Macaca fascicularis: one gene and its partners. The protein of the gene in region 2 binds, or shares a complex with, the protein of the main gene of each other region. Links are inferred from orthologs where the notes say so. Each region holds a gene or a part of one and is shown on either strand. Other genes may lie near its edges.

What was found.
Region 1: SNW1 (region 2) and EFTUD2 share a complex: the UniProt entries of both Homo sapiens proteins name them as parts of the minor spliceosome. The link is inferred for Macaca fascicularis from reciprocal best matches to the Homo sapiens genes SNW1 and EFTUD2.
Region 3: SNW1 (region 2) and SF3B5 share a complex: the UniProt entries of both Homo sapiens proteins name them as parts of the minor spliceosome. The link is inferred for Macaca fascicularis from reciprocal best matches to the Homo sapiens genes SNW1 and SF3B5.
Region 4: SNW1 (region 2) and RBMX2 share a complex: the UniProt entries of both Homo sapiens proteins name them as parts of the minor spliceosome. The link is inferred for Macaca fascicularis from reciprocal best matches to the Homo sapiens genes SNW1 and RBMX2.
Region 5: SNW1 (region 2) and DHX16 share a complex: the UniProt entries of both Homo sapiens proteins name them as parts of the minor spliceosome. The link is inferred for Macaca fascicularis from reciprocal best matches to the Homo sapiens genes SNW1 and DHX16.
Region 6: SNW1 (region 2) and PLRG1 share a complex: the UniProt entries of both Homo sapiens proteins name them as parts of the minor spliceosome. The link is inferred for Macaca fascicularis from reciprocal best matches to the Homo sapiens genes SNW1 and PLRG1.
Region 7: SNW1 (region 2) and SNRPF share a complex: the UniProt entries of both Homo sapiens proteins name them as parts of the minor spliceosome. The link is inferred for Macaca fascicularis from reciprocal best matches to the Homo sapiens genes SNW1 and SNRPF.

What each region holds. Positions count from the first base shown.
Region 1 is NC_088390.1:65,951,277-65,956,326, forward strand, and holds the start of EFTUD2 (116 kDa U5 small nuclear ribonucleoprotein component), read right to left. Parts: upstream 3,468-5,050; 5' UTR 3,391-3,467; intron 3,064-3,390; 5' UTR 2,995-3,063; intron 968-2,994; exon of another isoform or gene 964-967; 5' UTR 846-963; intron 1-845. UniProt on the Homo sapiens protein: Required for pre-mRNA splicing as component of the spliceosome, including pre-catalytic, catalytic and post-catalytic spliceosomal complexes. Component of the U5 snRNP and the U4/U6-U5 tri-snRNP complex, a building block of the spliceosome.
Region 2 is NC_088381.1:145,685,981-145,690,329, forward strand, and holds part of SNW1 (SNW domain-containing protein 1), read right to left. Parts: intron 3,108-4,349; coding exon 2,991-3,107; intron 1,640-2,990; coding exon 1,498-1,639; intron 1-1,497. UniProt on the Homo sapiens protein: Involved in pre-mRNA splicing as component of the spliceosome. As a component of the minor spliceosome, involved in the splicing of U12-type introns in pre-mRNAs.
Region 3 is NC_088378.1:48,298,289-48,301,777, reverse strand, and holds SF3B5 (splicing factor 3B subunit 5), read left to right. Parts: upstream 1-1,680; 5' UTR 1,681-1,756; coding exon 1,757-2,017; 3' UTR 2,018-2,366; downstream 2,367-3,489. UniProt on the Homo sapiens protein: Component of the 17S U2 SnRNP complex of the spliceosome, a large ribonucleoprotein complex that removes introns from transcribed pre-mRNAs.
Region 4 is NC_088395.1:136,676,322-136,681,365, reverse strand, and holds the start of RBMX2 (RNA-binding motif protein, X-linked 2), read right to left. Parts: upstream 3,405-5,044; 5' UTR 3,341-3,404; coding exon 3,336-3,340; intron 3,125-3,335; coding exon 3,009-3,124; intron 1,558-3,008; coding exon 1,506-1,557; intron 1-1,505. UniProt on the Homo sapiens protein: Involved in pre-mRNA splicing as component of the activated spliceosome. As a component of the minor spliceosome, involved in the splicing of U12-type introns in pre-mRNAs.
Region 5 is NC_088378.1:142,000,537-142,005,208, reverse strand, and holds the end of DHX16 (pre-mRNA-splicing factor ATP-dependent RNA helicase DHX16), read right to left. Parts: coding exon 4,557-4,672; intron 4,470-4,556; coding exon 4,351-4,469; intron 4,226-4,350; coding exon 4,158-4,225; intron 3,571-4,157; coding exon 3,408-3,570; intron 3,310-3,407; coding exon 3,148-3,309; intron 2,852-3,147; coding exon 2,678-2,851; intron 1,283-2,677; coding exon 1,154-1,282; 3' UTR 1,063-1,153; downstream 1-1,062. UniProt on the Homo sapiens protein: Required for pre-mRNA splicing as a component of the spliceosome. Contributes to pre-mRNA splicing after spliceosome formation and prior to the first transesterification reaction.
Region 6 is NC_088379.1:159,451,554-159,455,615, forward strand, and holds the end of PLRG1 (pleiotropic regulator 1), read right to left. Parts: coding exon 4,036-4,062; intron 3,559-4,035; coding exon 3,365-3,558; intron 2,817-3,364; coding exon 2,757-2,816; 3' UTR 1,073-2,756; downstream 1-1,072. UniProt on the Homo sapiens protein: Involved in pre-mRNA splicing as component of the spliceosome. Component of the PRP19-CDC5L complex that forms an integral part of the spliceosome and is required for activating pre-mRNA splicing.
Region 7 is NC_088385.1:102,898,278-102,901,458, forward strand, and holds the end of SNRPF (small nuclear ribonucleoprotein F), read left to right. Parts: intron 1-1,317; coding exon 1,318-1,382; coding exon of another isoform or gene 1,383-1,386; exon of another isoform or gene 1,387-1,418; intron 1,419-1,989; coding exon 1,990-2,056; 3' UTR 2,057-2,128; downstream 2,129-3,181. Other genes in the region: CCDC38 (coiled-coil domain-containing protein 38), read right to left, coding at 3,166-3,181. UniProt on the Homo sapiens protein: Plays a role in pre-mRNA splicing as a core component of the spliceosomal U1, U2, U4 and U5 small nuclear ribonucleoproteins (snRNPs), the building blocks of the spliceosome.

The DNA of each region.
Region 1 (5,050 bases), on a different chromosome or scaffold from region 2:
AAACAGGAACATTCTTCTACATAACCACAACACAACCATCAAAATCAGAAAATTAATATTCACACATTACTACCACCTAATTTACAGATCCCATTCAGGTTTCACAGATTGTTCCAATACGTTTCACAGATTGTTCCAATGATATCTTACACGCCCAAGGATCCAATCCAGGATCATGTTTGCATTTGGTTGTCATGTCTTTGGTCTCTTTGGATTTACAATCTTCAGTCTTTCCTTCCAAGGACTGTCGTGACATCCTTAAGGATGTCCCTTGATTTGAGGTTGTCTGATGTTACCTTATGATAATATTCAGGTTATGTGTTTTAGGCAGGAATATCATAGAAGTGATGCTGTGAGAACATGTGAGAACTGTGGTTCTCAAAGCATTTCCTATCAGGTGATACATGATTTCAATTTGCCTCATTGGTGGTAACGTTAACTTTGATCACTTCATTAAGGTGATGTTTGCCAGGCCTCTCTATTGTAAAGTTACTCATTTTCCCTTTGTAAGTAAGTAGTGTTTTGTGGGTTTTTTCCACTTCAATTATTGAAATTCTATTCAAAGAAACAGTTCAAATGCCACCACCTCCTTCAAGCTTTCCTAGCTCCTCAATTTCTCATTCCCCTATCCTACTAGAGCTTTTTGCACCTTTATCAGTGTTTAATTTTGTCTTAAATAGTAGTTAACTGGCTGGGTGCAGTGGCTCACACCTGTAATTCCAGCACTTTGGGAGGGCAAGGTGGGCAGATCACGAGGTCAGGAGATCGACACCATCCTGGCTAACACAGTGAAACCCCATCTCTACTAAAAATACAAAAAATTAGCCAGGTGTGGTGGCACGCACCTGTAGTCCCAGCTACTCAGGAGGCTGAGGCAGGAGAATCACCTGAATCCAGGAGGCAGAGGTTGCAGTGAGCTGAGATTGCACCACTGCGCTTTAGCCTGGGCGACGGAGCAAAACTCTGTCTCAAAATAAATAAATAAATAAATAAACAAACAAACAAATAGTAGTTAACTGTACTAATTACCATCACCAACTATAGTTTATAAGCAATAAATAACAGACTAGAGCATCAGGGCTCTGGAGTTGGAAGACTTAGATTCAAATTCTAACTTTGCCACTAACAACTATGTAACTTCAGGTAAGTTGCTTCATCTCTCCAAACCTGACTTTTATTCCTCAACTGGAAAATGGAATGAATAATCCTCACTGAATAAATGTTTATGAGGATTACAAAAAACACCCTGTGTAAAGAATTTACCAGAGTCCCAGGCTCAATAAACAGCTAGCATTATTTTTTGCCATCCTTGATCATGAGAACCCTGTGTTCCATGCATCTGCTTCTTCCCTTCACTTCTTTTATGATACTAAATTTAATTTTAAAATAATACCAAAAAGTGGCAAGAACAGTACAAATAACTTTCTTTTCCCCAAATATTTGACAGTAAGCTGCTGACACAATGCCTCTTCAGCTCCTAATACTTTAGGGCAAGAATTCACAAACTCTGACCTGTGGCCAAATCTGGCCCCTCCACCTGTTTTTGCATGGTCCTCCAGCTAAGAATGCATTTTACTTTTTTATTTTTTTGAGACAGAGTCCCATTCTGTTGCCCAGGCTGGAGTGCAGTGGCACCATCTTGACTCACTGCAACCTCCACCTCACAGGTTCAAGCGGTTCTCCTGCCTCAACCTCCCAAGTAGCTGGGATTACAGGCACCCACCACCTCAGTTGGCTAATTTTTGTATTTTTAGTAGAGATGGGGTTTCACCACATTGGCCAGGCTAGTTTCGAATTCCTGACCTCAGGTGATTCGCCCGCCTCGGCCTCCCAAAGTGCTGAGATTACAGCTGTGAGCCACCGCACCCAGCTGCATTTTACATTTTTAAATAGTTGAGAAAAAAGTACCAATGCTAACACAGTCAACAGCCAAGACAGCACCTTGCATAAGTAGAAACTGGATAAATGTTAACTGAATGGGATGTTTAATTTTAAGATGCTGATATTTCTTGGATTAGACTGATACCTCCACCTCCCTCAATGCCATCTGCTGGGTGCTGAATGTAGAGAGAGAATCGGAGCTCCAAGGACCAATAACTAAATGTAAATTATTATGGAAACTTTCACATGCATACAGATTCTTTTTACTTCCAAAAAGCTATTATCGCATTTATGCTTATCTCATTCTCCCAAGACCCCAGTCAAGTGCTTGAAGAAATTATTTATCTATTTATTTTATATATATTTTTTGAGACAGAGTTTTGCTCTTGTTGCCCAGGCTGGAGTACAACGGGACGATCTTGGTTCACTGCAACCTCCGCCTCCTGGGTTCAAGAGATTCTCCTGCCTCAGACTCCCGAGTAGCTGGGACTACAGGCGTGCACCATTACGCCCGGCTAATTTTTTTGTATTTTTAGTAGAGGGGGGGGTTTCACCATTTTGGCCAGGCTGGTCTCGAACTCCTGACCTCGGGTGATCCGCCCGAGTCTGCCTCCCAAAGTGCTAGGATTACAGGCGTGAGCCACCGCGCCCGGCCGATTGAAAAAAATTTTATATAAAGCTGTTCATGGAACAAGCCAAGTTCAGTTCTGCCTCAGGGCCACTGCACTTGCCATTCTCTTTGTCCAAAACGCTCTTCCCTTTGATATTTTCACCTTGTCCCTTTATTTCAATCAAGTCTCCACTAAAATGTCACCTTCTCTGTCACTCTAAAAAGTCCCCCATACATACTCTCCAACTTCCCACTTTCACTGTTTTATTGTTATTCACAAATGTTATACATTTATCACTAGCTGACTTCTATCTAGTTGTTTACCGTTCATTTCCCCAACTACAGTTTAAGCAAGGGCTTGTTTTGTTTACTTAGAACAGTGCCTAGCGTAGACTAAGCCCTCAATACGTATTTATCGAACTAATGAGTGACTCTAACATGGTACAGAGAATATAGCTGATTTGCCCACAGTTACACAAAACTAGCGACTCATGGTTACAAACCTCACTGCTGCTTCCCGCTACAATGCAGGCGCTCAAAGGGAACGTCGGAGGGAACTTGGCAGAGAACGGCTGAAGGCGGCACAGATGGAAAAGGGAATGAGCGACGGGACTGGACAGTTAGAGCAACACTCCTTTCTAGGGATACGATTTTACGGACTGAGGCTATAGAGGCAGCCCCGAAATCGAGGTGTGTGCGTGCGTGCGCGCTTCGAAAGCTTTGGGGAGGCACGCGGAGGAGAGGACCTTCCATTATTTTTTCCGCTCCAGGCCTCAATTTACCCATCCGTAAAGCAAAAGGGGCAGATAGCATATAAGGCCTCTTCCAGATCTGACGCTCTTTAATTTCCTATCCCACCTGGAGCAAGCATTCCTTGCCGCTAACCCGCTTCAACTTACCTCCCGCCTGCTCAGCTAAGAGTTCTGAGGCCGCCGCCGGAGAACGCGCTTCCGCCCCACGCCAAAGAAACGTCTGCGCCCGCCGCCAGGAAGGACCCCGCAGACACCGCTGTCGCCTTTCTGCCCGGGAGGACAACCCTCCGCCTGAGGACCAGTTCCGAGGTATGCCCTCGCGGAGACAGGAACTGGCAAGGCGGAGTAGCCGGTCCCCAAGACGAGTAGCCCAAGACGTGGGCTGCTCCAAAGAGGGTGAGACCTGAGGATGAACGAATCTGATCAGGCGCCTCGGGACTACCCTGAAATGGGGGGGGCCTTCCGGCAGATCACGTGGCCAGGCTGTTAGCGCAGTTGCTGGGCAACCACAGCTGCGGGAGTGGTCTGCGCGGGGCTGCTCTCATGTTGACTTATCAGGGGATCTCCAAAGAAAACAAGGGGACCAAGGACGGGGCTGCTGGGGTGAAGGTCCAGGAGGCTGAGTAAGGGGACAGAAGGGTTAGTAAATGCCTGGGGAGGGCTGAGAACTGGACACTTGAGTTCGGTTACTGGCCAGCCCAGCCCCTTCTTGGCGTTCAGATTCCCCACGTTGGGGTAGGGTGGCTGTGGGATTGGTTGGGGACCTCCTGCTTCCTTGCGCTAGGGCTGTTGGTGATGACCCCGCCACAAAATCTAACTCAACTCACTAGGAGTTTGCAGTTCAGAGAGGTCCCACAACAAGTAAATGCCAGAGCCACGACTAGAACCCACGTAGAGAATCTCTCTGCAGATGGCTCACGCCTGTAATCCCAGCACTTTGGGAGGCCGAGGCGCGCGGATCACTTGAGGTCGGGAGTTCGAGACCAGCCTGGCCAACATGATGAAACCCCGTCTCTCCTAAAAATACAAAAATTAGGCGGGCGTGGTGGTGCACGCCTATAGTCCCAGCTCCTCGGGAGGCTGAGGCACGAAAATTGCTTGAACTCCGGAGGCAGAGGTTGCAATGAGCCGAGATCATGCCACTGCACTCCAGCCTGGGTAACAGAGCAAGACCCTGTCTAAAAAAAAGAAAAGAATATCTCTGTAGAAATCAGTCAGCCTCAGATACGCAGAAGCTACAGAAGTACAGTGGTAGAACTAAAGACATTGCCCAGGTACCTAGGGACCTCTGTTCCAGCCCTGGGCTGGACAGAGGGATTTGGGATCGGGTCATTGAGCTCCTTCCTCTGCCCCTTCTGCTTGATTTCCTGCTCAGTCATTGCGTGTGGTTTGGGTGAAAGTCTCCTTCTTCACTAAAGACATTCAATGAAGAATGAAACTTTATCCCTGAGCTCAAAGGTACCTAACAAGAGTTCTGCTTTTGTGTGAGGTCCCCTGTTGAAACGACTTGCTGTAGAACAATCCTATGGGGGAAGAGTGAAGAAACTGAATTCTGAGATCCAAATGCCTCCTCGACTGAAGCACCAAAATTAAAAGTATTTTTAGAGGCACAGAGCAAAATTAAGACAGAACTCCAAATTGAAAGTCAGGACTCTGTATTCTATTTTCAGCGACAAGTCTTGTGTAAGTCCTCACTGTGAAATTCAACTTGTCTGTATAAAATAGAAAACCAGATTTTTGTAACACCTCCCAGTGTGAGTGACATAATGTCCAGAGTGCTTTGGGGTCATTTGTGTTCTGGCGCATA
Region 2 (4,349 bases):
TGCCCACTCCACAGTATTCTATTTTTAACACAGCAGCCAGGGAGGTCTTTTAAAAATATATGTTGGGGAAATGGTCACACGGTACGAAATCTCATTTACGCAGGATGAGTAACTTCTGGAGATCTAAAATGCTGTATGGTAACTACAGTTAACAGTACTGCATTGTATATTTGAAATTTGCTAAGAGAGTAGATCTTAAATGTTCTCACCAAAACATTTAAAAAGTAACTATAAGAGATGACTGATAAGTTAATTAGCTTGACAGTGGTGAATATTTCACAGTGTATATTAAAACATCATGTTGTATATTTTATACAATTTTTGTTAATTATACCACAATAAGGCTGGAAAACAATATGTCAGGTCACATCACTATGCTCAAAACCCTGCAATTGCTTCCCTTTTCACTTGTCGTAAAAGCTTTATCTTTAGGTTAAAAGGCCATACATGATCTGGCCACTACTCTTCCCACCTGTCCTAAATATTCTGACACCTCATCTCCTGCTTATCCCCTTCTTTCTCATACAATCCAGTCACGTTGGCCTGCCTGCTCTTCCTTGAGCCACACTAGGCATACTTCCATCTCAGTCGTGTACCTGCTGGCCCTTCTGTGTGGGATGCTCTTCCCCCAGAAATCCACATGGTTTGCTTCCTTACTTCCTTCAAGTATTTCTGCTAACAGTACCATCTCAGAAGCGAGGGCTATTTGACCACTCTCACCTTCCAGCAATTTTATATCCTCCTTCCCTGTATTATTTTTCTTCCATATCAATTATTACCTTTTACTATACTACATCATTAACTTTTGTCTGTCTACACTCACTAGAATGTTGATTGTTATATCCCATCCCCCTACCCACTGTCTAGCAAAAACACCTTGTGTCTAAAAGAGAACCTTGCACACAGCAGATGCTCAATATGAACTAAATAGATGAAAGAATGAATAAATGTACCAGGTAAGAATTCAGTAATGAAAAAAACCACCCTCACAGAATTTCTTGAATTATAATTAGGACTCGACTTCCCATTCTAATTGAATTAATACACCAATGTAGACCACTAAGTAAAGTCAGAGAGAAAATACTGGCAGATTTAATGATGCATTAGAGCCTACAAGGTAGAAAAACTCCGGATTATTTCACCATATGAGGGAGTGGAATTATTCAGTTAGATACCTAATTTCTCTTAAGTTTTGAGATTAAAATAAGAGAAAATCAAGCCTATCATTTGAGTAATAATGCAATTTTTAAAAGTACATTGCTCAGAAGTTTAAAAACTTCTGGTACAGTCCCAAACTGAAGACCCACTTTTTTATTATCTCCTGTTGCTTCAGTTTACTAAGGCAGAGATTACTCTCCATTTCTACACTATATCTGAAGTATCTAAATTTTGTTTAGATGTACCTAACTTTATATGCAGTAGGAAAAAAAAGATTTTCTAAAATAGATGTATTTTGTTCACCAAGTAAAATTCAATTCAGTAATGAGAATGTCATACCTTTTTCCACGTGAGTTTTGATCCCAGCTCTTCTCTCCCTGGCTTTCTGAGCCATTTCTCTAAGTTTCTCTTCGTGTTTTTCCTTTTCTTTCTGAGCCATTTTTCTCTCTACTTGGGCACGCATTTCCACAGCTTCACGAGCCTGTTAGTAAAGTCACATGTTAAACAGGACACTATCATGGGATAAATATTTATGGCTGTCATCCAGCTCCCTAAAATCTGGCTGGTAAGAGCAATCATACAGAATTCAGATTTGTTACTGCTAATTAAAACAAAGAATCTTGTCCACTAAAAGATATCCTGCCTGGAAGACACTGCAAGGTCAGCTTTCTTCTCTGGGAATATTTTAGTGATTGAAACTATAGTGACCCCAATTAATCTTGTAAATCAAGTGTTTCACTAATGCTTTCTCAGAAACAATCTAAAAAACAAAAGTAAAGCCAGGCATAGTGGCTCTCTCCTGTAATCCTAGCACTATGGGAAGCCAGAGTGGAAGGACTGCTTGAGCTCCGGAGCTTGGGACCAGCCTAGGCAACATAGTGAGATACATCTCAAAATAAATCAATAAATAAAAAGGGACTGGTTACATTTTCAAAATGAATCAAGTCAACTCAAGATAAAATCTTAACTTACATCTGCTAGATAATTTTTATAAGGAACTCACTGTGATACAAGACTTTTTTTTATGTTCTAAACACATGCTATGATGCATGTGAACTTCAATATCATTTATTAATTCCATAATATTTATATTTATATATATTTTTTGAGATGAAGTGTCTTACTCTGCTGCCCAGCCTGGAGTACAGTGGTGCAATCTTGGCTTACTGCAACTTCCGCCTCCTGGGTTCAAGAGATTCTCCTGCCTCAGCCTCCCAAGTAGCTGGGATTACAGGTGCCCGCCAGCTAATGTTTATATTTTTAGTAGAGATGGAGTGTCACCACATTGGCCAGGCTGGTCTTGAACTCTCGATCTCAAGGAATCCACCAGCCTTGGCCTCCCAAAGTGCTGGGATTATACGCATGAGCCATTGTGCCTGGCCTAATTTCATAATATTTAATACATTATGCAATATTAATAGATGGCCAATGCTATGAACGCCATTTTATGTAGCATTCAATTCATTAGAATGTTTATCTGTCTTTGCCTGCAACTGCCTTTTTGTGGGACAGCTACATCTAAAATACAGGAAAATTTGAAATCAAGAATTACGAAACCTAGCAGTCTTCACAAAATGGGATCATCCCCAGCAAATCATTATTCTGGCATGTTGTGAGGGAGCCGGATCACCATTGTGGGGTGTATGTACACATCTACAAAGGCTAGGAGCATGCAGACAGCTGCCAACTAGCAGCTGCCATTTCTGACACACGTACCATGGGTGAGACTCTCTCTGGGTGCTTGGTACTATAGTTAAATTATCAGTACCTTAGGTAACCAAGAATGGATTTTAAAAGTAACAAGAGCATTAAACAAATTATAACCAACCAACCTTCCGATCAGCAATGTAGAGGGCTTCTGCCAGTTTGGCGAAATTTTCATTTATGTGTACTGTCTGTAGTCCTCTTCCATCAGCAGCCAGACGTTTGTCTAATGGAATTGTATAACCCTAGGGTGAAAGCAGACAGAAAACCCAGTCACAGAAGTGCTTCAATTAATTATTTGAAGTTAAATTAATTTAATTTTTTTCGAGCTGGAGTCTTGGCTCTGTCACCCTGGCTGGAGTGCAGGGGTGCCATCTTGGCTCAATGCAACTTCTGTCTCCTGGGTTCAAGTGAGTCTCCTACCTCAGCCTCCCAACTAGCTGGGACTATAGGCGTGTGCCACTACACTCAGCTAGTTTTTGTATTTTTAGTAGAGACAGAGTTTCACCATGTTGGCCAGGGTGGTTTTGAATTCCTGACCTCAGGTGATCCACCCTTAGCCTCCCAAAGTGCTGGGATTACAGGCACGAGCCATCAAGCCTGGCTAAAATTAAATTAAAATATGCCCACATTTTAGGACCCACTTAAACTTAACTGGGGTTCTTTTTCCTTATATCTTTCTTCACAACGACGCAAAATAACAGCAGCTATCAATGAGTGCTTTATGCAGAAGATCAAACACATCTATGGTCTCATTTAACCTTCATAATAACTCTATAAAGCTTCTAACATTGTGTCCATTTCACTGATGCTTTGGTAACATCCCCAAGGTCATACCGTTAAAATAAGTGGAGGACTAGGATTTAAACTCAGACAGTAGGATTTCAGAACCCAACCTCTGGAAAAATAGATACTTGTGCTGATAATTGTGGATTTTAATAAAAGGAAATCAGTGTCAAACAGTTCAACAGTTGCTCCTCAAATAAATGTAACAGTCAAACAAAGGCAGAATAAATCACTATAATCTTAGCATCTATAGGAAGTTAAATCTGCTGTACTCTCTTAATGATCTGTTATATTCTTAGAACCCTGAAGTTTTAGTAAATAGAAAAAAAAAGGCTGGGTGCAGTAGCTCAAGCCTGTAATCCCAACACTTTGGGAGGCCAAGGCAGGTAGACTGCTTGAGCCCAGGAGTTCAAGACCAGCCTGGCAACATGGTGAAACCCTGTCTCTACCAAAAATACAAAAAAGTAGCCAGGTACGGTGGGGCACACTTGTGGTCCCAACTACTTGGGAGGCTGAGGTGGGAGGAATGCCTGAGTGTGGGAGGTTTAGGCTGCAGTGAGCCATGATCATACCACTGTACTCCAGCCTGGGCAACAGAGCGAGACCCTGTCTCAAAAAAAAAAAAAAAAAAAAGAAAAGAAAAGAAAAAGAAAAAAGAAAAAAACCGTTTGCTAAACCACTGACATTCTACATTCTAAAAC
Region 3 (3,489 bases), on a different chromosome or scaffold from region 2:
CTAGTAAAGTTTTCCTTCCCTTCCGTTGTAATAGAGTTATTTAACCATTTATCAAATTTTTGTTTTGGATTTTTTTTTTCAAGTAGCTTCTACCCATGTAAGGAAGTTATTAAACCAAACGGTAGGATATAAAGCAATAACAAGGAAGAGATGTATAACCTGCAAAGAGGAAGGAGAGTTTACATCTGTCTGGAGCAGCCAGAGAAAACTCTAAGGAGATGCATTTGAGCTGCCTTTTTGGGAGATGTATTCACCAAGGGAACAGACATTCCACGTAGAGGGAACAGCTTGTACAAGAAAATGGGTATGGGCACAACAGGTAACACGGAGAAGTACAGTTGTCCCTCAGTATCCGTGAGTGATTTGTTCCATGACTCCCATGGATACCAAAACTAGAGGATGCTCAAGTCCCTGATATAAAATGGCTTGTATTTGCACATATGCACATTCTCCTGTATAGTTTGTCTCCAGATTATTTAACAATACCTAATACAATGTAAATGCTATGTAAATAGTTGTTATACTGTATTGTTTAGGGAATAATAACCTTAAAAAGTCTACACTTCAGTACAGACTGACTTTTTCCCCAAATATTTTCAATCGGGTCGGTTGAATCCACAAAACCCACTGAATGGAAGGGCCAAGTAGGGTGCAGTGAGGCCTTGGAGGAAGGATATCAAAATAAGTGGCTAGAGAGGAAGGAGGAGCTTGAGGTGGAAGCCGGAATGTGTGGGAATTGGTGCTGTACTTGCTCACCAAGCACCCTGGTTAGAGCTGAAATAACTCTTTTATGCCACAGACTCCTAAGAGACATAGCTGGGACCAGAACTTGTGCCTGCCGACTTCTGGGAAATCCATCCCTGGTTGTGAAGGGATGGCTGTGCTACCATGATAGCTTTGGAAAACAGGGAGAGTTTATTTTCGGGGCTGCTTGTAGTCCAGTCCTACTTGGGTTTCCCATTTCCCATCAGCCCCAAGCCACCCACGGATGCTCCCCACCTCCCAGACATCACCCTCCACTAGGTCCCCAGATCACTTTTAAAACGCGACCAGGGGCCTGGCGCAGTGGCTCACGCCTGTAATCCCAGCATTTTGGAAGTCCGAGGAGGGAGGATCACGAAATCAGGAGTTCGAGATCAGCCAGGCAAAGACAGTGAAACCCCATCTCTACTAAAAATACAAAAAAAAAAAAAAAAAAAAAAAAAAAAAAATTGGCCTGGCGTGGTGGTGTGCGCCTGTAATCCCAGCTACTGGAGAGGCTGAGGCAGGAGAATCGCGTGAACCCAGGAGGCGTTAAGTTGCAGTGAATCGAGATCGCGCCATTACACTGCAGTCCCGGTAACAGTGCGAGACTCTGTCTCAAACAACAAAACGAGACCAGGAGTTCCAGAAGCCTACGAGCACGAACTCCCAAGACCACAAGTCCCAGCATGCAAGGCTCCCTGTTGGAAAAGGGCTTCCCATAGCCACCAAGTGGACCATCATGCAAAGCTCTCTGACGGGGCGGGGCTCTCTACAGGGGCGACACACTTGTGGCGTCGCCTCGGCAACTCCAATTCCGTGACAGAATGTGCTTCCGCTTCCGCCTTTGAGCCCTATGAGCGAGACTTACGCTACTTAGTCGTCGTGACGCCATTCTTCTGCGACGGCGCGGGCCGGGAGCTTCCGCACGGTGGCCTCACTCCCGCGTGAAACGCCAGAGCGGCGATTTGTTGTCTGCGTCCTCTGTCCTGGGAACTAAGGGGAAAGCGGCGAGATGACGGACCGCTACACCATCCACAGCCAGCTGGAGCACCTGCAGTCCAAGTACATCGGCACGGGCCACGCCGACACCACCAAGTGGGAGTGGCTGGTGAACCAACACCGCGACTCGTACTGCTCCTACATGGGCCACTTCGACCTTCTCAACTACTTCGCCATTGCAGAGAATGAGAGCAAAGCGCGAGTCCGCTTCAATTTGATGGAGAAGATGCTTCAGCCTTGTGGACCGCCAGCCGACAAGCCCGAGGAGAACTGAGACTCTGCCTTACCACCACTGTGCGGGGCACCTCTCCCAGTGTTCCTCAGGTTGGCCAATCCCTTCGACTATTTCTGCCTCCAAAGGACCGGCTCTCCATGGCTCCTGCGTCTGGTACTTCCGCGTACAGAAGTGCTTGCCCGGGGAATCCCGCCTGACCTGCCTTCATGTGAACCCTTTGGAATAGCACTGGGAGACCAGCAGAACCCCTGAGAACTGTGTTGGTGAAGAGGGCCTAGAGCCGGCAAGCGTTTGAGAAGAGGGCGTGGCGCTGGAATGAGATGGGATTTGGCGTCTCATTTTTGGCTAATTGATTGTCATTGGCTTTTTCCATAAAGTTTAGAAATCATTCACTCTCTTGGTGTGAACTTCCTGTGTTAGGGTGGAGGGCTCCTGAAAGACCCGAGCGGGAAATGGGTCGGGGGAGGGAGTGCATGCCAGTGTCCATGATCAGGTACTTAAATCCACCCTGTCTACCATTATAATTAATTCCCCGACTGCCACTTCTCCCAAGAGCGTTATTTTCAGGCCCACAATGCCTTCAGTATTGAAGTTTGTGGTTATTGTATCCCATTTTCTTTTTCTCCCGTTTTAAAAGTCTTTGCAGTCTTTGCTGTCATTGTCCTCCTTAGCCTCTTTAAAATGCATCCTTTCTTTTTCTTGGGAATTTGTGGCCATGTCTCCAGAAATGACAAGCTGGCAAGTGAGTTCATCCTTTCTATATTCAACAAATATTTGTTGAGCTCTATGTGACAGGCATTTTCCCATGGTCTTGAGGCTTACATTATGCTGGTGGTGGAGAAAGGAGGTCAAACACTGTAGACGTAATAAGTAAATGTTAGAAGATGCTGCGGGGAGGGGAGAACAATGTACGTGGTGTGGGTGGGAGTAGTTGGTAGGGCCATAATCTTAAATATGATACACAAGTTACTGAGATGGTGACATTTGAGCAAAGACTTTAGGGAAATGAGGGAAATAGCCATGCGGAAAACTGGAGAAATTGCTTTCCATGAAGAGGGAACTGCCAGTGCAATGGTACTAACACTGGGAGTATGCATGGTTTATTGGAGGACCTGCAAAGAGGCAAGCATGGCTGGAGGGGGTGAGCCAGGGGAAAAGTAGAGGGACAGGTAATGGAGGGGGAAACGAGTAGAGCCTTGTAGGACAATATATGAACCTCTGAGGAGCCATTGGAAGGTTGTGGGTTTTTTAATTTTAGTTTTTAAAAATAAGAGATGGGTCTTGCTATGTTGGCTAGGTTGGTCTTGAACTCTTAGCCTCAAGCAGTCCTCCCACCTCAGCTTCCCAAAGTGCTAGGATTACAGGTGTGAGCCACCACTCCAGACCATTGGAAGGTTTTTACCCAGAGAAGACACATGACCTGGCATAGCTTAGATCAGTGGTGGCTTTGGAACTCCAGGCTGAAGTGCGGTGGCACGATCATGGCTCACTGCAGCCTCAACTTCCAGGAC
Region 4 (5,044 bases), on a different chromosome or scaffold from region 2:
TCCTGGATTCAAGCAATTCTCCTGCCTTAACTTCCCAAGTAGCTGGGATTACAGGCGCGCACCACCATGCCTGGCTAATTTTTGTATTTTTAGTAGAGATGGGGTTTCCCCATGTTGGCCATGCTGGTCTCAAACTCCTGACCTCAGGTGATCCGCCCACCTCAGCCTCCCAAAGTGCTAGGATTACAGGCGTGAGCCACCATGCCCAGCCAACAAAGCAGTTTTTTGAAAGGCACTGTTATCAGCGGCAATCTTCATGGAGAGCAACGTGTGTAACCAGAATAGAGAATAGAGAATTAGAATAAACAAACAAGCACACGTGCTAGCTGATCATCACTCAATGCAAGTAGAACTAAACAGCTCCAAGAGGGAAGGCTGAGTAGAAGTACACAAAGGGGTAGAAATTATAGGCTGCACCTGCTGTGAACCTTGCAACATCCACAAGTTGAAGGAAGCAATCTTTGTCCCTGCCAGGGCCCTCCACTCGTGTGGGTTGCCCAGGTTCTCTATCACAGCCTTCTTCTCACGGGTATTGCCCAATTCCTTTCCCATGGCTTGCTGCCCCATAAGTGGCCCAACCACTCAGCCAGGGCCCTCTGTCCATGGATGGCCCTACCATCCTGCCATAGCAATCCCTCTGCCAGTGTATGCTACCTGTGTTTGCTTGGCCAGCCCCTTTTGCCATGGTCTGCTACCTGTACATGCTGTCCAACTTCTCTGAAACAGTACTATGCTCTGAAGGCCTACAAAACCCAAATGTAGTGGTCCTTTGCACCTGTGCCAAGATCCTCTGGCCCTGTGGACTAACTGTGCTGTTTACCTCTGGGGTTGCAGGCCAGCTGCCCAGCCCCTCTCCTACTAGCTGCTACTACCAGTATGAGCCACCAACACCCTCTCCCACCAAATGCTGCTGCCAACACCTCAGCAGAATGAAGAATATACAGATCTCCTATTCATTCTTGTTCCTCGTCAGGCTGTGATTCTCAGCCTCCAGGTAGAGATTGGCTTTGCTCACTAACCTTACATTCATTGAGAATCAAAGAAAGCAAACTACAACCTTCTTTCTGTTTTTCATCCCAATTCCTCTGTGGTTTGCCCCAGTCGTATGATGCCACACAGGCAAGGACCAGAAGGGCCCTGTGACCATGGGTTACCCCTAGTTTGCAAGAGCCCAAGGAGGCGTACCAATATGGAACCTTCCTGAGGGTTCCAGTCTGTTCCAGTCTAGGCCCAGGCTGAACAAACCTCAGTGAAAAACAACAGAAATAGACTAGAATCCCCAAGATGGCCTCCCAAATTAACAAACCTCTTGGATCTCCCACAGGAGAACATTCTAGAACCATGTCCTGGGACTGATCTAGACTAGAGCAGAAGCTCCAGCCCTCCCCATGCAGGGACACCATTCAGCCTAGAGTGAAAATAAGTGGTTTTTGTGATGCCACAAAATGCATTACAGAAAAAAGTACTCTGTCGACTCAGGAGGCAGGAAATGAAAGGGGACTTACTGTGAGAACACACAGATGATGTCCCCTTCAGTCAGTTCATAAGGAAGCCCTCCTAGAAAAGAAAACCACATTTCAGTTCCACCAACATTTACCAAGTGTTTACTACGTACCATGCACTAGGCCAGGCACTAGGGGTGCAAACAGTAAGCAACAGGCCCTGCCCTTAAAGAAATCAAGTCTGGGCTGGGCACCATGGCTCACGCCTGTAATCCCAGCACTTTGGGAGGCCAAGGCGGGTGGATCACCTGAGGTCAGGAGTTCGAGACCAGCCTGGTCAACATGGCGAAACCCCGTCTCTACTAAAACTACAAAAAAAATTAGCCGGGCGAGGTGGCGGGCACCTGTAATCCCAGCTACTCAGGAGGCTTAAGCAGGAGACTCGCTTGAACCCAGGAGGCAGAGGTTGTAGTGAGCCGAGATCACGTCACTGCACTCCAGCCTGGACAACAAGAGTGAAACTCCAACTCAAAAAAAAAAAAAAAAAAAAGAAAGAAAGAAATCAAGTCTGATGCAATGACAGAAGTACATGTAAGGTGCCAGTAGAACAGGAAAAGGAGTGACTAATTTTGAGTGGAAGTCAGTGTCACCACTAACAAAAGTAAACTGATCACTCAGTCCTCCTGGCACCCAAAATCCTATGGGCAAAGCAGATAGTTTCCATCACAAACCTCTGCTTCCACAAACATGTTGAATTCATCTGCTCATTACCCACAAATTTACAGCTATGATACAAAATTAGTCTACATATGTCATGATTAACCCCACCTACACATAGACAAAGGTTATAAAGACACTGTTAAGCATTTCCTAGGGAATAATTTCCCTTCCAAATGTTTCTTTCCTCATCTGTAAGATGGGGATATTAGCAGGTAACTCGCAAGACTGTTATAAGAGTTAAATAAAACGATGCATATAAAGTGCTTAGCACAACGTTTTTACAATAACCTCTTTGAAGCATCAAACTTGTACAATTACTGGTTGTGATATAAAGTGAATACAGTAATGGTAGTGTGGCCATGGTCAGAAAGCAGGAGCTAGAGGAGCAAAGTGAATTCTGCAAGGGAAGGGGAATGGGGGAGGGCGGTGGTAGCAATATGGGGCTGTGGCTAAGACCATGAGTTCTAGAAAGCTATAGTTCTGCCTGTTGCGGTTATTAGCTATGTGACCTTAAGGAAGTCCCTTAACTTCTCTGCACCCCAATTTCCTCAGCTGTAATAACGGGTCAGGGGGTGAGAGAGAAATAACAACAGTCCCTGAACCTTAGCACAGCAAATGGCAAACAGTAACTCTCATGAGCACTGATTTGGCTGGGAAGGAAAACTAAAAATGGGGCAGAAAAAAAAAAAAAAAAAAAAGATGGAACACGGATTCCCGGGCAGACAGCAGATGGATATAAAGGAGGGCAATGAATGTAAGCAGGAGTGAAGGGTGAAAATGCTGAAATAGTCGGACACCGAGCAGGAGAATCTTGGGAGCACTGCGGAAGAAAGATGTGCACCTCACCCAGGAAGATCCAGGCGCTGTCCTTGTACTCGGAGTGCCAGGACACTTTATCGGCCACCCCAAGCTGGACCTCTCGTTCATTCAGCTCGTTGATCAGCTTCACCTTAGTTAAAGGACTTCACGGTGGCGGGGGTGAGGGGAGGCAGAAAAGCAGACAAGTAAATGCTAACCGGCCGAAGCTGAAGAAGAGCAAAACAAGGGGACGAGGTGTTCTAGTCCCCGCGCCTCTCCCGCCCCTCGACCCCGCAGACGCTCTACCACCCCAGCCCCAGTAGACCACCCTCAGCGGCCCGCTGCTCGTTCCTCAAAAGGAAGCTGACGCCTTACTTCATCTCCGCGGGCTCGCGCTCAGCATTCAGGAATCAGCGCCCGGGAAAGGCAGCGCCGCGCATGCGCGGCCCCGGCGCCGGTGGCTCGTCGAGTCGGTGACCTCGCGCCGGAAGAGCTGGGGCGTACCGGGGCGTGGCGCCTGCGCACTAGAAGCCTTCCGCGTTCTTTGCGGTTACCTCTTGTAGAAACGGTTTTTCTCTAATTTTTCGCTTTTTCTCCTCTGTGAAATGGGGTAAAGGCACGAGCCTGGGCTGTTGCAGGACCCCCAGCTCTTGAACGATATCGGAAACTGGTTAGATTAGCTATAAATATTTGCTGAATGAACGGAATAAGCAGCCTGATGTGGCGACTTTAGTCTCAGCCCTCGCTCCCAGTCCAGAGTCCCACTTGGACCTTCGCTCTTAGTCAGTTGCTCACGCACAGACCCATCAAAGCATCCCTGTCATGGCAGAAAAGTGAAGAAGATAGGTGAAAAGGTAAATCTTCTGTTGTTCTTATCCCAATACATAGGCAACAGACCAGTGTGCCTCTATAGGCTGAATTGAATACCTACAGATTTGCATGAGAGCCGCTGCACTTACTCTTTTCCATAGGCTCTCTCCTAGTTGAGCAGGAGACAGAAATTAATATTGTTAAATTAATAGCTAGCAAGTGAGCAGATGATGTACTGTATGATACTAGAGTATGTGCTAAGCAATTTACATGTATTGTCTCTCCACCCTCACAACAACCCAATGAAGCAGATAAAATTACAATTCCTGGCCGGGCGCAGCAGCTCATGCCTGTAATCCCAGCACTTTGGGAAGCTGAGGGAGGAGGATTGCTTGAACTCAGGAGTTTGAGACCAGCCTGGGCAACATAGCAGAACCTGTCTCTAAAATAAAGGAAAAAAGGGGGGGCCAGGTGTGGTGGCTCACACCTGTCATCCCAACACTTTGGGAGGCTAAGGCAGGTGGATCACCTGAGGTCAGGAGTTCAAGACCTACCCAGCCAACATGGTGAAACTCTGTCTCCTCTAAAAATACAAAAATTAGCTAGGCATGGTGGCACACGCCTGTAATCCCAGCTACTCGGGAGGCTGAGGCAGGAGAATCACTTGAACCTGGGAGGCAAAGGTTGCAGTGAGCTGAGATCGCACCACTGCACTCCAGCCTGGGCAGCAGAGCGAGACTCCTTGTTTTTAAAAAAAAAAAGAAAGAGAAAGTAAAAGAAATTTCCACCCTCGTTTTGTAGAGGAAGAAATGAGGCTCAAATGAATAAATTAACTAGAAAGGTACTAGAGCACCTGCACCCAGTAGGTCAGGTTGATTCAATCAGTCCTTACTGAACATCTAGATTTGTCCTGTGCAGCTAAGGTCTGTAGACAGGAGTATCAGGTTGGGTCCTCTGCCCTCAAGGAGCTAATATTATAATTAAGGGGACAAGATATATTTGCCTGATAGATTTCAACCAGAAATATCTAGAAACCAGTGGAAGAGATGATTAACATATAATATGTGATTTAACCCATATTGACAGTTTGAATCCATTTTGCACATGTCCACATCAGTACCTGCTCTTGGACCATGATGTTCTAAAAGTAAAAGTCCAGAGCTGTGTGGCCTATCTCAGAGCACCAGATATTAGGTCCTTCATAAAAACATTTTGATGACGATACCAACTGTACCCTCAAGTGGCCCACCATGTAACCAATGTCCTGCCAAAAA
Region 5 (4,672 bases), on a different chromosome or scaffold from region 2:
CCTGGCCAACATGGTAAAACCCAAAAAATACAAAAATTAGCCAGGTGTGTGGTGTGCACCTGTAGTTCCAGGTACTTGGGAGGCTGAGATGGGAGAATTACTTGAACCCGGGAGGCGGAAGTTGCAGTGAGCCGTGATCACATTACTGCACTCCAGCCTGGGTGAGAGTGAAACCGTCTCACCGAAAAAAAAAAAAAAAAAAAGTACTGAACAAATGAAAAGTCCTGTCTCTTATGTTGAGCCTTACAACCTGGTAAATTTCTGCCTGGGAGTAGAATCGCAATAAAATGTTAGGCTCAGCCACAAACATTGGATATAAGTTTTTAAACCAGCAGTTCCCAAACTGCTGCATGGTAGAAATGCCCAAGGATCGTTAAAAAATATTGATGCCAAACACTGATTTAATTGAGACGGGACAACCTAAGCACTGAGATGTTTGTAAGTTGCCCAGGTGATCTAATATGTAGCAGAATTTAGAGACTACTCGTTTAAACAAATGCTTGAATTCAGCTTTGGGACCAGTCACCTTCTCCCTCAGTAAGCCTCCCTGTATTCCCCAGGACCTATGATGCCTACTCCACTTTCTACCTGAATTCCAGTGGCCTCATTTGTCGCCATCGTCTAGATAAAGTGAGTCCTAGGTAGGGCTGGGTGGGGTGAAGGGTAGAACATCTGTGTGCCTCCCGCAACTGGCATTAACCTTTCTCCTTGCAGTTGATGCCTTCACACTCACCTCCAACGCCTGTGAAGAAGCTGCTAGTGGGAGCCCTGGTGGCCCTGGGGCTGTCAGAGCCAGAACCTGACTTAAACCTGTGTTCCAAGCCCTGATCCTTGACCTTTGAGTGGGGGCAGCACTGAAGACTGCTAAGCCCAAGAGAAGGAGGTGGAGGCAGCCAAGAATCTCAGGAGCCAGCTTCCTCCCTTTTCTCTCCTGCCTTCCTTTCCATCTCATGCTGTGTAAAGCTGCTCTGTAATTTAACTTGTAAATAATAAAGTTTAACTGACTATATGAGATAGAATTTCATGTATCACTTTCTCTAGATCCCAAATATTCCCACAAGCTTTATTCCAAAAATAATTTTATTTAATAGGTATTAAATAATGTATAGAAGGAAAAGGAGCTGGTGTCACAGGTTCTGTTTACGTCCTTCTCTTACCCTAGCTCTTCTCGTGTTTTGCCTATTTTTTTGGGCATTTTCTTAGCATGGGGATCTTCTAGCTCCTTGGCCTTATAATAATGGGGAGCCACCTCCAGAAGCCAACTGCTCTCAATCTCCAGTACCTAGGAGGAGAGAGAAAAGATCAATGGAGTTCCCTTCTTTCCAACATAGATCTTTTGTGTATTATTATTTTTTTCGTAAATTGAAACAGGGTCTTGCTCTGTTGCCCAGGCTGGACTGCAGTGGCGTATCATGGCTCACTGCAGCCTCGACCTCCCAGGCTCAAAGCAGTCCTTCTGCCTCAGCCTCCCAAGTGGCTGAGACTACAGGCACACATCACAGTGCCCCATTAATTTTTTGTATAGATGGGGTCTCAGTATGTTGCCTGGGCTGATCTTGGCCTCCCAAAGTGCTGGGATCCTGCCTTGGCCTCCCAAAGTGCTAGGATGGTTTACAAGAATGAGCCACTATGCCCAGCCCCAACCTAGATCCTCATGTGTGTGGTCAAAAGTTATCTTTCCTCTTTGACTGCAGGGCTAGGGGTAAAGGTGCCTGGCTCTATTATTATATATCCAAAGGGCAGATACACCTCTATGTGTTATTCAAGATACCAAATAAGCTATTCCTAAGAAAAGTCTAGAACATGCCGGGCGTGGTGACTCACGCCTGTAATCCCAACACTTTGGGAGACTGAGGCGGGCGGATCATGAGGTCAGGAGTTCGAGATCAACCTGGCCAACATGGTGAAACCCTGTCTACTAGAAATACAAAAATTAGCTGGGCGTGGTGGTGGGCACCTGTAAGCCCAGCTGGAGGCTGAGGCAGGGGAATTGCTTGAAACTGGAAGGCAGAGATTGCATGAGCTGAGACTGTGCCACTGCACTCCAGCGTAGGCTACTGGAGTGCGAAACTCTTGTCTCAAAAAAAAAAAAAAAGAAAAGCCTAGAACATAGACAAAGTACACTGTGAGACAAGAGACACTCTGCTTTGTTCATTATAGCCCCAGCACCTATACAGTAGCCATTCAAATATGTATTGAATAAATGTCTAGTTCTCAGATCTTGGAAGATGCTGACACCTGTTAGAAAGGATGTCTTTGGGCTGGGCACAGTGGCTTACAACTGTAATCCCTGCACTTTGGGAGGCCGAGGCACACATTTAAGACCAGCCTGGCCAACATGGTGAAACCTCATCTCTACTAAAAATACCAAAAATTAGCCAGGCATTGAGGCTTGCACCTGTAATCTCAGCTACTTGGAAGGCTGAGGCATGAGAATATCTTGAACCCGGGAGGCAGAGGTTGCAGTGAGGCTAGATTGCGCCACTGCACTCCAGCCTGGGCAATAGAGCGAGACTCAGTCTCAAAAACAAAAACAAAACAAAGGATGTCTTTCTATTTTACCCTACCTTCCTCTTTCTGTACCAGTCCCAGCAACTTGAACCTGGGTTCTTAGCTTGTCAGGATACCATCTCTCTACATAGTCTCCACCTGTGTGGGCACAGGATGTTGTCCTCACCTGTCTCATGAACTCTTTGGTAGTCAAGACAAGTTCGTGGTAGAGCAGCCAGCGTGGCTGTTGCTCAAAGAGGGAGGAGTTGGGATGAATGAAGACCGTCTGCTGCTGTTTTACTGTGCGGTAGCCGCTCCGAGTCAACCGTGCCGTGTGGTAAAAGTAACCAGCAGTGATGGCCTAAGGAGCAGGCAGGAAAGAAAATCAATGGAAAAGGCAGACATCTGGGGACCCTAAGAGCTCACTACCTTTTTAATTCCAGCTTCAGGAAAACTAGAGAGGTAAGGAATGCATGAAGAACTTCCCAGGAATGAACCTCCAGTGGTCTGGGGAAGAAAGGGCCCTGGGAGGACACCGTCATACACAAGGGGAAGAGGGCATGCTCTCAGGCTGGAGGAACTGCTGCATGCCCCTAGAGAAGCTTGCTCCTGGGAAGGTACTGGGGGTGGAGAGCAGGAGGCTGAAGAAATGCTGACCTTGCGTACACGGATATAGTCCCCCTGGCAGGAACTGAGACCAACTTCCACACGTTCCAAGAGCCCTTCCAGCTGTTCCCGCACATCCCGGGCTCGGCGCATTGATCTGAACTGTACAAAGTTCTCATAGCACCACTGGGAAGAGTAACCACTCTCGGCCCACTGGGAAAAGGATTAAAAAGAAAGGAGAGACAGTTAAGTATACAGTAGGACTAAAGTCCCCCGGTGTCTCTCATTCCCACTCACCCAAGCCCAGTGACCTGTGTGTAAACATTTAGCAGAACCAGGTGGTCACCACCAGGGAGAAAGAAGTTGACACGGGCGTTGTCAGCATGGACGACCTTGTCCTTTGGTCGGTAGAAGATGGAGTTGTTGACAGAGAGCATGGCAGCCACTGTCAGGATCTCCTCTGAACAGCTGTACCTGGGACAGGAAGGGGAAAGCATGAGTTCAAAGCAAGACACATAGGAACAGATATGGTGGAGTGGGGAGTGATCACTGTGTGATGGATGTTCCCTCATGTGGAAAAGGCTGGTTGGCCTAATGGCTACAAAGCAGCCAGCAGATAGATTCTGGCAGCAGCCTGGGGGTCAAGGAGGTAGGGGCCATAGATGAAACACAGTCACAAAGGAGGGACATCCATGGAGGCAGGAGCAGGAAACACTGGGGACTTCTGAGGCTTCTGCAGAAAGTGTGCATTCACTATGTGCATTTGGAAAAGATCTCTGACAGCAGAGGAATGGCATTTAAAGGTCGTCCCTCCACAGCTACATTAAATGTTTTAGTTTCAAACCTTAGAAACGAGTAAGTTCCTCAAGGGGCCAGGCACAGTGGAATCAAGGATAGGATCAAGTGTCTTACCCTCAAAAGAGGGCAATCAGAGTTATCTAATACTTTCTTATGTGTTAAAGGATAATATGATGAAGAGAAAAAGACAAAGAGGACCACAGAGACAAGAGGAGGCCTGGCCAGTATGTGTGCTGGGAGACCAGGTGGAGGGGAGGGCTTACTTCTCAGAGGCTAAGATCATTTTGGACAGCATGGGGTCCACCGGCAGCTCTGCCATCTTTCGACCAGACTAGGGAGAGGAGAGAGAGAGTTGAGCTCAGTCCTCCCTCAGGTTTCCCACTACTACTACAGGGGCCCCTGGAGCCATCCTGACCCCTATCATCCTGCCCCAAGCCATGCTGCCCCCCAACTCACCGTAGTGAGCTCCCCAAGGTGGTTGAGGGCTCCCAGAGCATACAGCTGCTCCAAAGCCAGCAGCAGTGTCTCATATGGTGGAGCGTCCAGGAAATCAAAGTGCATTAGGTCATGGATCCCTAGACAGAGGTGTGACAGATGGAACACAGTCCCTTCAAAGGACAGTGACTCCAGCCCCTCCCTCCTCTCTCAGGTAGCCCAATCACCTAAGCTCTTGAGCAGCAACACGACATTGCCCAAGCTGGTCCTCTGGATCTCAGGCACTGTGGTTTCCTCAAGCTCGTGCTGATAGGCCCAGGCGGTATACAGGCGGAAGCACTTC
Region 6 (4,062 bases), on a different chromosome or scaffold from region 2:
TTAAAACTAATCATTTTGTTTGGCGAATGGCGTGGAATTGGACAGCTCTTTTGTTATTTACTTCTCTCTTCCCTTTGTTTCTATTATTTATATTTCTGTTTAATTGGTTTATCTAGGTTTACCTATTTTTGTACCAAAAAAATCAATTTTTAAGTTTATTTACTATTTTTCCTTATTTCATTAACTTACCAATTCCTTTTGTCAAAAGAAAAATGTTTAACACATTTTCTTTTTTTTTTGCCATTGGTTGAAAAAATGAGAAAATGTAAAGTGAGGAAATAGAAATAAGTTTATCAAAAACTCTACAAGTTTAGCTATAAGAATAGAGAAATGGGTATATTCCTAGAGGGAAACATTAGGTTTAGTAATTTTTTTTTTCTAAGAGGCAGTATTGAAACCTATTTTTTGATGACATTCATTTAGGGCCAAGGAAAGAAATTCATGGTACAGGTCAGGGTTTAATCATGGGAGCAAGGTCCTTGGGTGGGCAAGAGTGTATGGCAACAACTGCACAGAGGGAATTGTTGTGAGGCCGATTGCTCATCCTCTGCAACAGCAGGCAAAAGGCGTTAACTATGGAGATGTGTATTTGGTCATTGTTGATGGCTCCCTTGAGATATGTGGTTACAGACCAAGAATGAGTCCGGTCTCTGGAGCTGCCTTTCTTTGGTAACACTTTATAGCTTGACTACACTTAAGCTATATGCAATGGGCAGTGGAAGAGATTTGGGCTTAACCCTGGTGGTGGGTCTGTCAGGTAAGTAAAAGGGCACATGCATGAAATTCTGCACCTTTCATAGGGTCCATGAACACATTATGGTAGATGAACTTAATGCAACAGAAGTTTCAAGAAACACTGTAATATAGGCCAGCATGGAGCAGGGAAACAGATTTTTTTAAATGCTTTTCAGAATTTGATATGTGTACCTAACTTGAACACAATAGTTGAAGCTCTGCTAAAAAGATTGGTAGGGGCTTTCTCATCTCCTTGTACTAGTCATTTCTTCTTGGCCTTTAACAGCATCTACCTCTGATTTTTGTTGTTAGAAGGCATATCAGAATCTCTCAGGAATGCAAGTGCAGCGTTCTTTTTTCTTTATTTAAGTTTATGAAATACATGCTTATAGAAAATTAAAACATAGAAATATGTAAAGCCAGTCGTGAAAGTTCTTCCATAATTCTGCTTCCTAACAAAGCCACTGTTAGTAATGTGGTGTTATATTTTGGAGCATTAAGTTGTTCACAAAAAATGCTTGCACAACTTTTTTTAACTAAGAGTAAAGTTTGGAAATTTTGCCCTAATAATCCAGACATTCCTCACTCACTTAATGAATACTTAGAAACAAATTGCATAAAGGAACCATCTATTAAACCATCCCTTATTGACAGGACATTTGAGTTTTAAGTATTAAAGAACAAAGGTGCAATGAATTTGCTTGTGTACACTTGTCAGATTATTCCCATTAGGCAGTTCCCTAGAAATGAACTTAGTAGGCCAAAAGGTTCAAACAGTTTCAATAAACCCCAGAAAACTACATTCCTAAAGGTTGTGCCAATTATACTCCCACCTATAGCATGCAAGATGGGTAATATAATTGGAAATGCTTATTCAAAATCATAGTGCAATTTTTTAATTTGGAAAATTATAAAAACTGACTGTTCTTATAACTGTGTTTTCTCATTATAGAAGGTGAAGTCTGACAAATCTTCTTGACTAAAGGGGAATCAGGATCCCAGGGCAAGATTTATAAAACTTGTATTTATCAAAAAGAGGCATTAGAAACTTTAAAACTTCTCTTTAAAATCTCTACAAGATTGCAGCCCTTGCTACAGTTTTAAACAGCTGCACTGGTATCTCCAGTTATTTTCCCCAAGTTTCAATGGCAGTATTGGTATCTTACTAGTTGTGGAATAAAATCCAAATTTATATGAGCTTTCCTCACAACAAGCCAGCTTTACTCTCCATTATTCAACAGTAGCAGAAAATTCTTTGTCCCAGGACACACTGCACACTTTCTTCTGCCTGGTTTCATCGCTTCATGCCTTATCTCTTTTCCTTCTTTGTCCTCCTTCACCTCAAAGTCATCTCCAATGCCACTTACTCTATGAAGTCTTCCACAATCCTTCCTGAGAAAAATAAATGATCTCATCCCCACTTCTGTTCCCCCAGCATTTCACCTGCACCTCCATTACAGAATTTCTATACTAAGCTACCAAACTGGAAGTCTTAGAGGATAGACACATCTTACTTGTCTATTTCCTGAACGGTATCTAGTGCAGAACTTTGTAGAACATACACTCAAAAACCGTTTTTGGAATAAACATATATAAGTTAAGACTTTAAATCTTTTAATCTCAAATTATTAGTCACAGATATTAATTTTTAAAGGATTAAAAAAAAAAACCTACTGCTCCCTCAAATGTCCTATTATAATAATCGGTTTCATACATTTTTTTTAAAAAGGGGGTTGTTCTAATAAGACTGTCAAAATATTACATCTAGAATAGTTACAGTCAATAAACCTGCATTTACTTGATATCTGCATCTTCCTAGTATCACAAATTGTTTTAGAAATAAAAACACAAGGGTAGGGGACAGGGGACAGTTTATTGTAAAATATGAAGCAGCAATGATTGAAGCAAGTGAATTTCTCCTTTATATTCCCAGCCAGAGCACAAAATGACTGGGTATCCTCATCAACGCCAAGCTTTTTTTTTTTTTTTTAAAAAAAAAAAAAAAGAAAATTCCACATTCATTAAAATCTCTTTCTCTTGATAATTTCTGGTTTCCAGCTGACTGGATGAGTTTCTTCTGTCTAAAAGTAGAAAAGCAAGTTAAAATAAAGTATTATTAGTTTGCTTCATGTCTAACAGGCTTCCTTTCTAACAGAAATAAGGTATCTCCTCTAACATTATTCATTGGCATTATATACTTAGTAGTTCTTTGACAATTTTAGGAAGAGTTGATAAACTTCTGGCATTATCTAAGTCTAATAACAGATGGATGGATTCATTATGTTTAGTTTGCAGTTTTTAATCTAAAATAACATTTCTATTTGGATCTACTAATACCAAAGCTTATGATTCTCAAATTAATTTGCATAGCAATCTATTTATTTGCTGTTATTCTTGGTGCAACATTTCCCAGCAACTATAACAAAGAAAGCTGGGATAAAATTAAAACCATCCATGAATTCACTGGCATCAGTGAAATAATATAGAAATCTATAAATAGACACTATTCAAGAAAACAAATATCTTAAATACTATAAAGATTATTTTTCCTTCTGATAAAATTAAATGAGAACACAGTGCCCAATTGGTATAGCTGCTTTACTTAACAAATGTGAAACAGAGAACTTACGGCTGTGTCATCCTCTCTGTATACTTTAATGGTTTTATCAGCTTCAGCTGTTAGTAATCGACTTTCAGACTGATCAAAAGCACAAGCAAATATTCCTGATTCACTGTCCAAAGAGCCAGGTTGCACAGCTGCATGAACTCTCTGAAAATTGTAGCCAGTTCTCCAGTCCCAAAGATGCATGGTGCCATTGTCAGCTTAAAGGGAAAAATCTAGTTACACCTGGTATCCCTTCAGCAGTACAGCTTGACAAACATTTATTAAGCATCATTAGCCCAAGCATGGCAATACTTCGGTTATAAAAATACATAAGACACAGGCACTCAATCTTCTCCTAATATTGGCTTTTCTACTTTCATTTGTGCTGGGTTCAGAATTTATAGATCTTAAAAAGCACCTAAAATCTAACATCCAATTCCAGAATAAACAAAATTTTAGGCAATTCCCAGCATAAATCCCTGAGATTCATCAGATTGGAACTCAAAAGGACTAAACTATGAAATATACTACATGTATTATGAATATGCATGAACACACATAGTAACATGCAAATATGCCCTAATCAGGCAAGTGCTGCTATAATACTTAAGTGTGACAGCTTAGAAGCATTACAAATGTTTATTCATCATTAAAAGTAACAGATAAACATATTTATTATAAAAATCTTATTTTACCTCCAGATACAAGTACTCCATCAGAAT
Region 7 (3,181 bases), on a different chromosome or scaffold from region 2:
AAAAAATTAGTTGCTCTTAATACATTATTTCTTATAGCCGTTACATACAAACTAATTGTCTCAACAACTTCATATATTTCAGACAAAACTATCATCTGGATAATGAAGATTACTTTTTGTTTTCTATAAGAGAGGGAGTAACATCCAGTAGTAGTGTTCATTAACATGTTTTTCATGCCTTATGTCACATCCTATTTTGATCCTTATTGTTAAGCCGTGTTTTTCTTTTCCTTTTCCACATGCCTAGTTGTGAAGGAAACCTCCCTCTCTCCCTTCACTCCTGTTAGTGTCGTCGCTGAGTCCCAGGTGGCATTGATTGTGATTTTTCTTTTAATTACAAGTAAAGATTGTTACCTATATGTAGAAGGAAAGCTAAACATTTTGATATAAAATTAGAAATAATAGGGTTCAACAAAATAACTGTAAAAGTCACTGTTAACTATTTAACTTTCACTTAAGAACTTGTTTTTCCCTGTTTATTGGTACATAATTTTAAAAAATTTTCTTATTCAGGCCCAGATGTGGTAGCTCATGCCTGTAATCCCAGCACCTTGGGAGGCCAAGGCAGGAGGATCACTTGAAGGCAGAAATTCAAGACCAGCTTGGGCAGTATAGCAAGATCTCATCTCTACAAAAAAAAAAAATTGTTTTGAAGTAGCCAGACTTTGTGGCACATGCTTTTAGGCCTAGCTACTCAGGAGGTTGAGGCAGGAGGAGCCCAGGAGTTGAAGGTTTTGCTCAGCTATGATTGTGCCACTGCATTCCAGCCTGGGCAACAGAGGGAGACCCTGTTTCTTAAAAGACAGGAAAAGAAGAAAATTCTAACTCAGTTATCTGCTTTGGTTGCTGACTAATATAAAAGTATTTGGCATGCTGGCCATAGCTTTTGTATACCCATTTGGACACCTCAATATGATTTATGTTTTACTCTGAGAAAACTTAACGTCTGGTTCTTTAGAATGAATTTTCAGAAAACTTTTTAATCACAATTTATTCATAGAGACTGCCTTCTTCCACACACTGTTTTGATATCTAATGGAAAGAAATATTACATAACCTGGGAGATTCAGAGGCTTATGTTGAGACAAACTTTATTATATATTTGTTCTATATCCATGAATATTAATTTTATTGAAGGTTTATATGAAACCAAAAGTACTACAGTAGTAATAGAAAGCTCATCCTCTGTTTATTAATTATAGATAAATTTGAGTTGTTGGTATAGGAAGGTCATAGTAAGTTCTCTCACCAGTATTAGCTGTATTGTAATATTTTCCTCCTGTGTGATTATACTAATTTATTTCTTTTTATTGAAAGCTTGCAAATACAGAAGAATACATAGATGGAGCTTTGTCTGGACATCTGGGTGAAGTTTTAATAAGGTAACGAACAGCAGTGGTATATGTAAGGAGTTACTGGTGAGCATTAGGAATACCTGTTCTAAATATATTAGTGCCTCAATTTTGGAAGTACTTTAAAAAAAAAATTACTATTATAATACTTTACAATTAGACTTCAAAAGTCTTTGAAATTGTTAAACTTGTCAAAGGTAAGTTTTCAAATGTTTTAGAACTGGCCAAAAGATTTTTCTAGTGTTAAATTTTCTGGCTCTTAGCTATAACCTTTTACAGTGGCAACCTTTTGCAGTGGCCTTCATTGCAAGAACTTAGTTTTGAATTTTAGTTGGGTCTGGCTGTTTGTAAGGATTTTTGTTATATTGATTCTCTGTACTAGCTTCAAAGCTTCAAATTCTGGTAATTGTTTCCTTTGGAAAATCATAAAGGTGTCATTTTAACAACCATATGGTGGAAAATAAGTGCAATGTGCTTTTCAACAAGTCTATGTAAAACTCTTTTTAAAAACAAATATATTAAAAAATTTTTTAAGACAAGAATATTGTAAATATAGCATTCAGTATTTTCATAATAAAAATACAGTAATTCAGATCATTCTGGTTGGAACAACAAAATGGACTTTTTCTATTTACAGGTGTAATAATGTCCTTTATATCAGAGGTGTGGAAGAAGAGGAAGAAGATGGGGAAATGAGAGAATAGCATCTTTTGTTGGGGATTTTTTTTTATATATATATTTCTAGACAATAAAGATTTGTTTGTTTTTCAACTTGACTTGCGAACTATTTGTATTCAGATATTTACAAGCAAAGCTCAAATGTTGAACCAGTTGGGAAAGATTACTCACAGAACTAATGCTTTAAAAGCCACCGAATTTCATTTAAGTTGCTTTTCTTTTGTAAGCTCAATACTCTTTTTTTTTTTCCCCCATAAAGGATAATTATATGCTTTAGATATTTTTATGAAGGTGAATTTCAGACCTTTTCTTGTAAAATTATCTATTAGCTGCGACCTTTTAAATGCAACGTTTTCAAGTTATTTTTGAGCCACTTTTAACATGTATAAAATTAAACATTTTCTTGGCATTAATAATATTCTGTCTTATTTTACTTAGTCAATAAATTACATGTTAATTCGGTGTCAGTATAAGCTAAATGCACATATTGTAGCTAAAACTGAAACATCCTCTAAAAATTAAAATGATTGTACAGACAGGGCACAACAGAAATTGGGAACTGACATTCAGGCTAAGGGCATATGATTTGTTTACTAAGGAGAAAAAAGTTCTTTGAACAAAACGTAATGTGGAATAAAAACCGGTCTCACAGTTATGTTCTGAGACCATAACTTCGAGGTTAAGTTTTAAGCCTTTCAAAACCCTTCAGATATTTTAGAGTTATACATTGTTAAAATGTATATTCCATAGTAATAACAGCATGCTATGAACTTCCCTACAGATGGGTTGAGAAAATATATCATTTACATTCTCATGTTGTAAGAGAATGGCCATTATTACACTTCAGTGGTCATTTACCATACAGTTTTATCAGTAAACTATCTTTGTGTATCCCCAAGTGGAACAACTCAAAGTATAGATAACAATGTTGAGCTATATGGACTAATACTTATGAATAAAGACTTCAACAAAAGAAAATAACTTATTCCTAATCCTATGGCCCTTAGAATAAGCGCCTGTCTTCCTCAAATTGATTAGGCCTGGTACATGGGGCAGAATATTGTCATTAGTGAAAGCCAAGATTTACAAAATATACCTAAGACATTCTGGTAATAAAATGTCTTACTGCTTTTATTCAAGTAAAAAAATAT